Alligator mississippiensis: one gene and its partner. The protein of the gene in region 1 interacts with the protein of each later gene in a pairwise test. Links are inferred from orthologs where the notes say so. Each region holds a gene or a part of one and is shown on either strand. Other genes may lie near its edges.

Region 1 (3,659 bases):
CGTGTGCACACGTCTGTGTGCATGGGTGTGCATGAGTACGTGCACGTGCGTCTGCGTGTGCTAGGTGCAGTGCACACGAGGACACAGGAGGCGATGGGCCGGGATGCTGAGTGCGTGCTGACCGGGGGCCCCGCTCCGGCTGCCCTGCGACCCGTGCACGGCCCAATCCAGCTCCCGGACTCGACACTGTCATGCCTGGCACCCAGCACAGCCCCTCCCTCAAAGCCCCACTTTGGAGCCCCCCCGCATGGGGGGCATCACCCCCACTGCACCAGGCTGCCCTCCCCACCCCCACCTCATGCTGCCCGGGAGGTGATGGGGGCCCGGGGCTCGGGACACCCCTGGCAGCCGGGGCAGCGGGTCCTGGCGTCGCAGCAGAGCTGAGCTGAGCTGAGCCAGGCACCAGACAGGCCCCGCTCTGCAGCTGCGAGGGGAGAGGAGCCAGGCAGGGGTCTCAGGGTCCCTCAGCCGCGCCGGCTGCAGGAAGCAGGTCCCAGGCAGCGCGGGCGCAGCCGGGCACGGACGCGGTGCAGCAACCCCCCCGCTCCATCCCCTGGCTCCGACACAGGCACAGAGCCCAGTGCTGCGCCCCTCCACCCCTCTGGCCACACACAACCCCCCACCTGCCCCGCAGAGACGCACCGAAAACACTGATAACTTAAAGCAGGTTTATTGGACAAAGCCAGAGGATGCACTGCCTGGGGTGGGAGCAGATGGCCCCAGAGGCAGGGCACGGGCCCGGGGCTCAGGACAGGGTCTTGCGGGCCTCCTGGAACAGGTTCAAGAGGTGGGTTTTGATGCTCTCGGTGTAGGGCTTGATGCTCTCCCTGAGGTCCTGCACCAGGGGCGTGACCTTCTCGCGCAGGTTGCTGAGGTGCTGGACGGCCTGGTCCCGGACGTTGGAGGTGTAGGGGAGGCTCTCGCGCAGCTTCTGCATCTTCTGGGTCAGCTCCTCCTTGTAGGGCGCCAGGGTCTTGCGCAGCTTGTCCACGTGCCCACGCATCCGCTCCTGCGCCTCCTCTGCCAGCGGCGTCAGCTGCTGCTGCAGCAGCTCCAACTTCTGCCTCGACAGATCCTTCACATTGGACACCACGGGCACCAGCTTCTCCCTGTACTGGTCCACCTCGGCCCCCCATTGCTGCGCGAACTGCTCCAGGGCGGTCTGGAACTTCTGCCGCACCTGCTCCAGGTCCTGCGCCACCTCGCTCTGCAAGCTCTCCGTCTCCTTGTCCCACGCATCCCGCATCTCCTCGTAGTAGGGGGCCAGATCCTCCTTCATCTGCACTATCGTTGAGCTCAGAGAGTCCAGGGTGTCGCCCACTTTCAGGCTGGGGGGCAAGATGGCACCAGGTTACGAGCTGCTGGGGATGCCCCCGTGCGCCCACCTAAGCCACCACGGCCCGGGGCTCAGGAGGCTGCTCCCAGCAGCGTGCGACTGAACTCCCCAGGCCCCCCCCAGGCCCCGCGGTCAGGCACTTACTCCAGTTGCTTGCCCACTGCCGAGGCATCGAACTGGGCCACGACTTCCTTGCCACTGGCTTTCATGGTCTCCATGTAGACGTTCAGCATGTCCTTGAAGCGGTCCAGGCGCGTCTGGGGGTCATCGTGCTGCCAGAAGTACCGAGCCTGGGTCCCTGCGGGGTGGGGGGAGAAGGCAAAGGGCTCAGGACATGCCCGGCAGCTTGCCCCGCAGCGCTCGAGGCGGGGATGCCTGCCCGCACCAGCCTGGGCTTGCAGGGGCTCCCGAAGCCCGAGGGCAGGACCCCACGGGCCGGCCCTGCCCGGTATCGCACCCAGGCTGCCCAGGACTCTGTGCTCCGGGGCCGCCCCGCGCCGGGTTGGGGCTCACCTGTGAGGAACACCAGGGCGAGGGTCACCACAATCGCTCTCATCCTCGGCTGTGTCTCGGGCTGCGAAAGACAAGAGGGTTTCCTGGGTGAGCACCTAGGACTCTGCTCCAGCCAGCCTGGAGCCCGGCCGGGGCCAAGGGGAGTCGGGAGCAGATGCCCGGATGGGGTGCCCCCTCCACCGATGGAGGTGCCCCAGTAGCTGTGATGCCCCCACCCACCCCAGGGTCCTGCTGAGCTGCTGGCGATCCCGATTCTGCAGCTGATTTTATTCTCGGGGTGGGCTGGAGGCAGCTCCTTCGTCTCCCGCAGCAAGAGTGAGGAGAGCAGGCAGCTTCGGGTGCAGATGCCCTGGGGTCTCCCCTCGCTCGTGGGCAGAGGTGAGCAATGGGCTGAGCCTCTGGGGCAGAGATCGTGCCCTGGCACCGGTGGGGGCTGCGCTGAAGATCCAAGGGGAGCGCGGCCGGAGTGGACGCAAGGGAAGGATGGGGTCGGGGTCTCACCAGTTGTTCCTGCTGCTGTTGCTGCTCCGGCGGCTCTGTGAGGCTCCTGCTTCCTCCGGCTGCTATTTATGGTGCAGGGGGCAGTGCTTGGCGAGATAAGCGGAGCCGCAGCCCAAGGAACCCTCCCAAGTCCCGACGATGTGGCACGGAGAGTTCAAGGATCGAGCTGCCTCCACGCGGGGCCAGGCAGGCCAAGGAGCAGCACCTGGCAGGACAGCTGGAACAAACAGGAGCGGGGCAGGGGGCCTGGCCTGGCCTGGCCTGGCCGTGCTCGGAGGGACCCCGATTCTCCTGCCAGCCCCGGGCTTGAATGCGAGCCGGGGACTGGGTTTGCATCCTCGGGCATTCGACACCACGAGGCTATGCTCTGGGCCACGGCTCCCAGCCATGCCCTGCCCGGTGCTCAGGTCTCCCTGCGGCGCCCCATGGCCAGCTGCATGCTCCTTCCCAACACGTGCCGAGTCTCCCCCCAGGCTGGCAGCACCCGGCTGCCAGGCCTCGCTCCTTCCACAGCGCCGCTTGGGTCCTGGTCAGGGCCAGGTGCTGCGAGCCAGCCAGCGGAGGATGAGCAGGTGCCTGGAGCAGCCGCTTTGTCCACCTTCGCTCTGCCCGCGGCTCCCAGGCCAGGGAAGAAGCGGCCCGGGCGCTGCAGGGCAGGACACTGCCAAGGGAACGGCCCCCCTCCAACGCTGCTCATCTGGAAGCGAGTAGGACAGAGCCCGGGGCCACCTCTTGGGCATCTCCCCCGGGATCATCTCCATCACTGAGCTTTGCCCCAAGACGGGCGGTCACGGAGGAGACGCTGGGAAGGCCCCAGGCAACAGGCGCTGCCCAGCTTGGCGCTGCCAGGGAACAGGGAAGCCTGGCAGGCCAGGAGTGGGTGGAGGCCTGGGCTGGGGTGGCTCAGGGCACTGCCACACTGACCACAGCAGCAGCAGCTCCAAACCCAGGGCAGGGAGGCGAGGGAGAGAAACCAGGAGGAGCGGTGGGAGCAGGCACTCTGGTATCCCCTGGACCCGCTGCCCCTGGGGGCTGCAGAGGCCGGGGAGACGGTGCCCGGCAGTGCTGCCCGTGCCCGCACGGCTCCTTCCCCAGAAGCAGGTACCAGCTTTGGGCAGAAGGCAACAATGTGAACTGCCTCCACGCGCCAGCCCTCTGCGGGCACCGAGGCCGAGGCCCTGCGCCCCAGCCTACGAGACCTGGTCTCGCACGGGATGTCTGTTCTTTGCAAAGAGGGAGCAGAAGGGACCTGCCAAGCCCCCGCTTCTTCCCCAGCCGGCGCCTTCCAGCGCTTCGCCTGGCTCGCAGC
Region 2 (3,896 bases), on another chromosome or scaffold:
TGTAGCTGGCAGAGCTCAGACAAGCAAGGGCTCAGTGAGAAATGTCCTTGCTCAGGGCCAGGGACGAGCTGTGGCCTCTGCTAGACCCTGGGTGTTGGCTTAGCCCCATCGTAGGCGCTGGGAACGGGTGGGGGCTGCAGAGAGGGGTCTGGCAAGCGAGCGAGCACATGGGGTGTGAGTGCGGGCACCGGGCATCAGCAGCTGGGCAGAGAGGCTCTGAGCTGGACACAGCTGCTCCAGCTCTCGGTGCTTCGCGTGGCCCGGGCCAGGCCTGGTCTCTTCTGAGGACCTTGGACAAAGGGGAAGGAGCCAGTGGCAAACGCCAGACAAAGCCCCTTTGCAACAGGCTTCAGGGCCAGGGCTGTTTGCATGGGGTGCAGCTGGGCTGGGAGGGGAGCACGCGGCCCGAGGCCCCGAGCTCGGGAGCCAGAGCCTGGTCCTGGCAAGTGCTGACACCAGCTGTTCCCCGGGAGCCTTTGTTTTGCAACGCAGCCCCCGGGCTGGCCTGGCCTGGCCTGGCTTGGCGGAGGAGCCGGTCAGCTGGTCCCGGTGCTTTCACAACCCAAACCTCAAGCTGGAAGAAGAAAACCGCGGGGAAGGCTGGGGGGGCCGCGGCGCTGGCAAAACAAAGCGTTTCTCAGCTCAGCTGGGGGATGTTTGTGTGGAAACAAGGAGCTGGCCATGGGGGCCCTGCGAGGAAGGGGGTTACTGCCGGTCAGTGCCCCGAGGCGGGCAGGCCTGGGGCGGCCTGAACGCGCGTAACCCCGTGCCAGCGCTGCCTCGCAGCCACAGCCAGGGCCCAGGGGCCCAGCCTTGGGGGTCCCGCAGGGGAGGCCGAGACCCCAGATCGGAGGGTGCCCAAGCTGGGCTGGGGGTTGCATTCCCCAAGTACAAGGAGGAGACCCCCCCCATGGCCCTGCAGCCTTGGGCCTGGACCATGGAAAAACACCAGCTCTCTGTGTGGGTGTTTTCCAGGGCCCTGTCCAACCCAAACAGCCTCCCCGGGTAAACAGGGGCTGCGGCCAGGCCAGCTCCCCGCGGTGCCCCCCTTGGTGCGACCCTTGCTCCGGTGCCTTTGGCCTTGGCCCAAGGGCTTGGGCAGCTGTGGGACCAGGCCGGGGGAGCCGGGTGCATTGGAGGGAAGGGACAGGGGCACCGGCTGTTTCTGCCCCTTCCGGGCAGGGGCAGTTGCTGGGGGGGGAAGGCAGGCCCAGGACCACTTCCGGCCTGTGCTGGGTGCGTGTCGGTGCGATGGTGGGAGTTGGGGGGCGGTGGATGCACCCCACAGTCCCGGGCGGTAGCTCTCCCTGCTCATGGGAGCCCCTTTCTGTGCAGCAGCACGGGGTGAAGCTGTTGGGCAAAGCTGTTGCCCGCTTCAGGGCAGGCGCTGGCTGGGCCCCAGCGAGCCCCCCCCACCCCTGCCCGGGCACTTGGGGGTTAAAGGCAGCTATTCCCCCCTCCCCCCCCACCAGTGCGCGCACACCCTGCTGGGATCTGGTTTCCTGGACCAGCAACCTCCCAATTAAGAGGCCTTGGGAAGGAGGGAGGGGAAAGGGGGTCAGGTTCCCCCCCTGTGGGGCGGGGGCGGCGCAGGGTTTATAGGGCAGGGTTTATAGGGCGTGGGAGCAGGGCTGCAGCCATTGCTTCCTTCCAGCTTGCAGCAAGTGTGCGGGGCTGGGGGGGGGATCCTGGGCTGCAGCTGGGGCTGGGGCTGGGGCAGAGGCAGAGGGGGGTCCTGGGTTGCTGCTGGAGGAGCAGAGAGAGGGGTCTTGGACTGAAGCTGGGGGGAGCAGACGGGGGGTCCTGGGCTGGAGCTGGGGGGGGCAGAGAGGGGAGTCCTGGGCTGGAGCTGGGGGGGCATGGGGGTTTTGGGGGTGGTTTTGCAGCCCCCCCTGTGCAGGGGCTGATCTGGGGAGTGGGTTCCCACAGGGCTGGGGCTTGGTCAGATCCTTGAAGGGAGGGCAGGGGGCAAGAGTGAGGCCCAGGCAGGGTGGGGGTCTCTGTGGGGTTTGAGGGCTGGTTGTGGGGGTCCTGGCAGGGCATGGAGTTGCTGGGAGATGGGAATGGGGCCCCAGCAGGAGGCACGGTGGGGATGGGGGCCGTCTCGCCCCCCCAGTGTGGCTCCAGGTGACCCTCCCTTTTGCCCCCCATCCCCACAGGTTGCAGCCAACCCCAGGGACGATGCGGCCTGCAGTTTCCATCGCTCTGGCCCTTGTGGCTCTGCTGGTCCTGGCAGGTAGGAGCCTGGAGCGGGTCCCTGGGATGGTGTATGTGTGTGTGTGTGCACACATATCTGCACATGCATGTGCGTGTGTCCTGGAGGAGCATGCGTGTGCAGGCAGGGGCTGCACGGGCATAAGAAGTAGTGGGGGAGGGAAGGCAGGTGCGTGGAAGCGGACAGACATGTCTGACCAGTCTTTGTTGTCTGTACTTCATATAACACGCGTGTCCTATCCTGCCGTGTTGCGCCGCGTTGCATCGCATCTTGCTGTCTCCCCTGCGGGGCAGGGCTGGTGCCTGCTGCAAGTCTGCAGCGCTCAGGCACCCACAGCCGCCCTGGTGTGCCCAAGGAAATCAATCACTTGACAGATGCCTGGAGTCTTGCCAGCCCCAGCTGCCTCACGTGCACGTGCATGCGTGTGCAAGCATGTGCCATGGGTGTCTGTGTGTCAAGCAGCAGTCTGGAGACCCACGTGTCCATGGGGCAGGAATTTGGTTGGGGGGGCAGGGGGGGAGCACGTGCACTTGCCATCTGCCTTGGGAGACCCCCACCTGGGCACATCTGTCTTGGCACTTGCCTCCCAGAATCTCCGCTGGGCACTGCGCGAGCCTGGCACAGCCAGTGCTGCTCTCCGCAGGCTCCGTGCCCAGGCTGTGACACAGCAGAGGAGACCGTGTATGTCCTCCCTTGTTTTACTGGTATCCAGTGACCGGCTCTGGGGGCTGGGTAGGGTCGAGGCAGGCATCCTGCCCAGGCCCCCCTCACTTCCACCCTGCCCAGGCACACCCAGCTGATGCTTCCTCCCCACAGACTCTGCCCGGTCGGAGCCAGGGGAGCCGACCCTGATGCAAAAGCTGGAGCAGTTCAAGGAGAATGTGAAGGTCTTCGCTGACAACATTGGGGAGAAGACCAAGGCAGCCTTGCAGGAGCTGCATGACAGCGAGTTCAGCACCAAGACCCGGTGAGCAGGCGGGCGGCTGTGGGGCCCTGACCCTCTCTCCGCTCCCTGGGGCTGGGCCTGGTGGAGGGGGAAGGCTTAACGAAGTTGAGGTGGATGGTGACGCCAATCCTGGCCCTGGCTCAGAGGGGCTGGTGCTGCGGGTCTGCCAGCTCCCCAGGGAGCTGGGAGAGCGGTGGAGGGGCTGGACCCGCTGATGCCCTGTGCTGATGCCCTGTCCCTTGCCTGGCAGGAACTGGTTCTCTGAGCACTTCAAGAAGGTGAAGGAGAAGCTCAAGGACACGTTTGCCTAGGACTGGCCTGATTCAGTGGGGGAATGGGGGTCTCCAGGCAGCCCCCAGCCATGCCCAGTATCTCACTGGTGGCCTTGTTCCTGCCGCCCTTGCTGTGTAGCCATGAATTAAAGCACTGCTGCCTTCGTATCCCGGCATCCACTCAGTCTCCCCTGCTGCGTACTGCCTGCCCCTTCACAATGGAGGACTCGGACCCCTCCCTGTCCATCCTGGATGGTTCTGCTACGTGCACATGCATGTGGGGCCGAGCCCCAGGCTCCCATGCCCACCTGGCTCCACCCCTGTGTGCAATCTTGTTGCATGGGTGGTGCAGCACATGGATTGACAAACACGTGTGCATGCACGTGGCTGCGGCGCTCCAGCCTGGTGAGATGGTGGGAAGAGCTGCTGGGAGGCGACCCCGGTTCAGGCACAGACAGTGCTG

What was found.
Region 2: the proteins of APOA1 (region 1) and APOC1 interact in a two-hybrid assay, tested with the Homo sapiens proteins (2 studies listed by BioGRID, with this or other methods). The link is inferred for Alligator mississippiensis from reciprocal best matches to the Homo sapiens genes APOA1 and APOC1.

What each region holds. Positions count from the first base shown.
Region 1 is NC_081839.1:34,259,969-34,263,627, forward strand, and holds APOA1 (apolipoprotein A-I), read right to left. Parts: upstream 2,436-3,659; 5' UTR 2,351-2,435; intron 1,911-2,350; 5' UTR 1,893-1,910; coding exon 1,850-1,892; intron 1,635-1,849; coding exon 1,481-1,634; intron 1,329-1,480; coding exon 746-1,328; 3' UTR 655-745; downstream 1-654. UniProt on the Homo sapiens protein: Participates in the reverse transport of cholesterol from tissues to the liver for excretion by promoting cholesterol efflux from tissues and by acting as a cofactor for the lecithin cholesterol acyltransferase (LCAT).
Region 2 is NC_081838.1:31,178,464-31,182,359, forward strand, and holds APOC1 (apolipoprotein C-I), read left to right. Parts: upstream 1-1,642; 5' UTR 1,643-1,666; intron 1,667-2,159; 5' UTR 2,160-2,181; coding exon 2,182-2,236; intron 2,237-3,031; coding exon 3,032-3,182; intron 3,183-3,411; coding exon 3,412-3,472; 3' UTR 3,473-3,601; downstream 3,602-3,896. UniProt on the Homo sapiens protein: Inhibitor of lipoprotein binding to the low density lipoprotein (LDL) receptor, LDL receptor-related protein, and very low density lipoprotein (VLDL) receptor.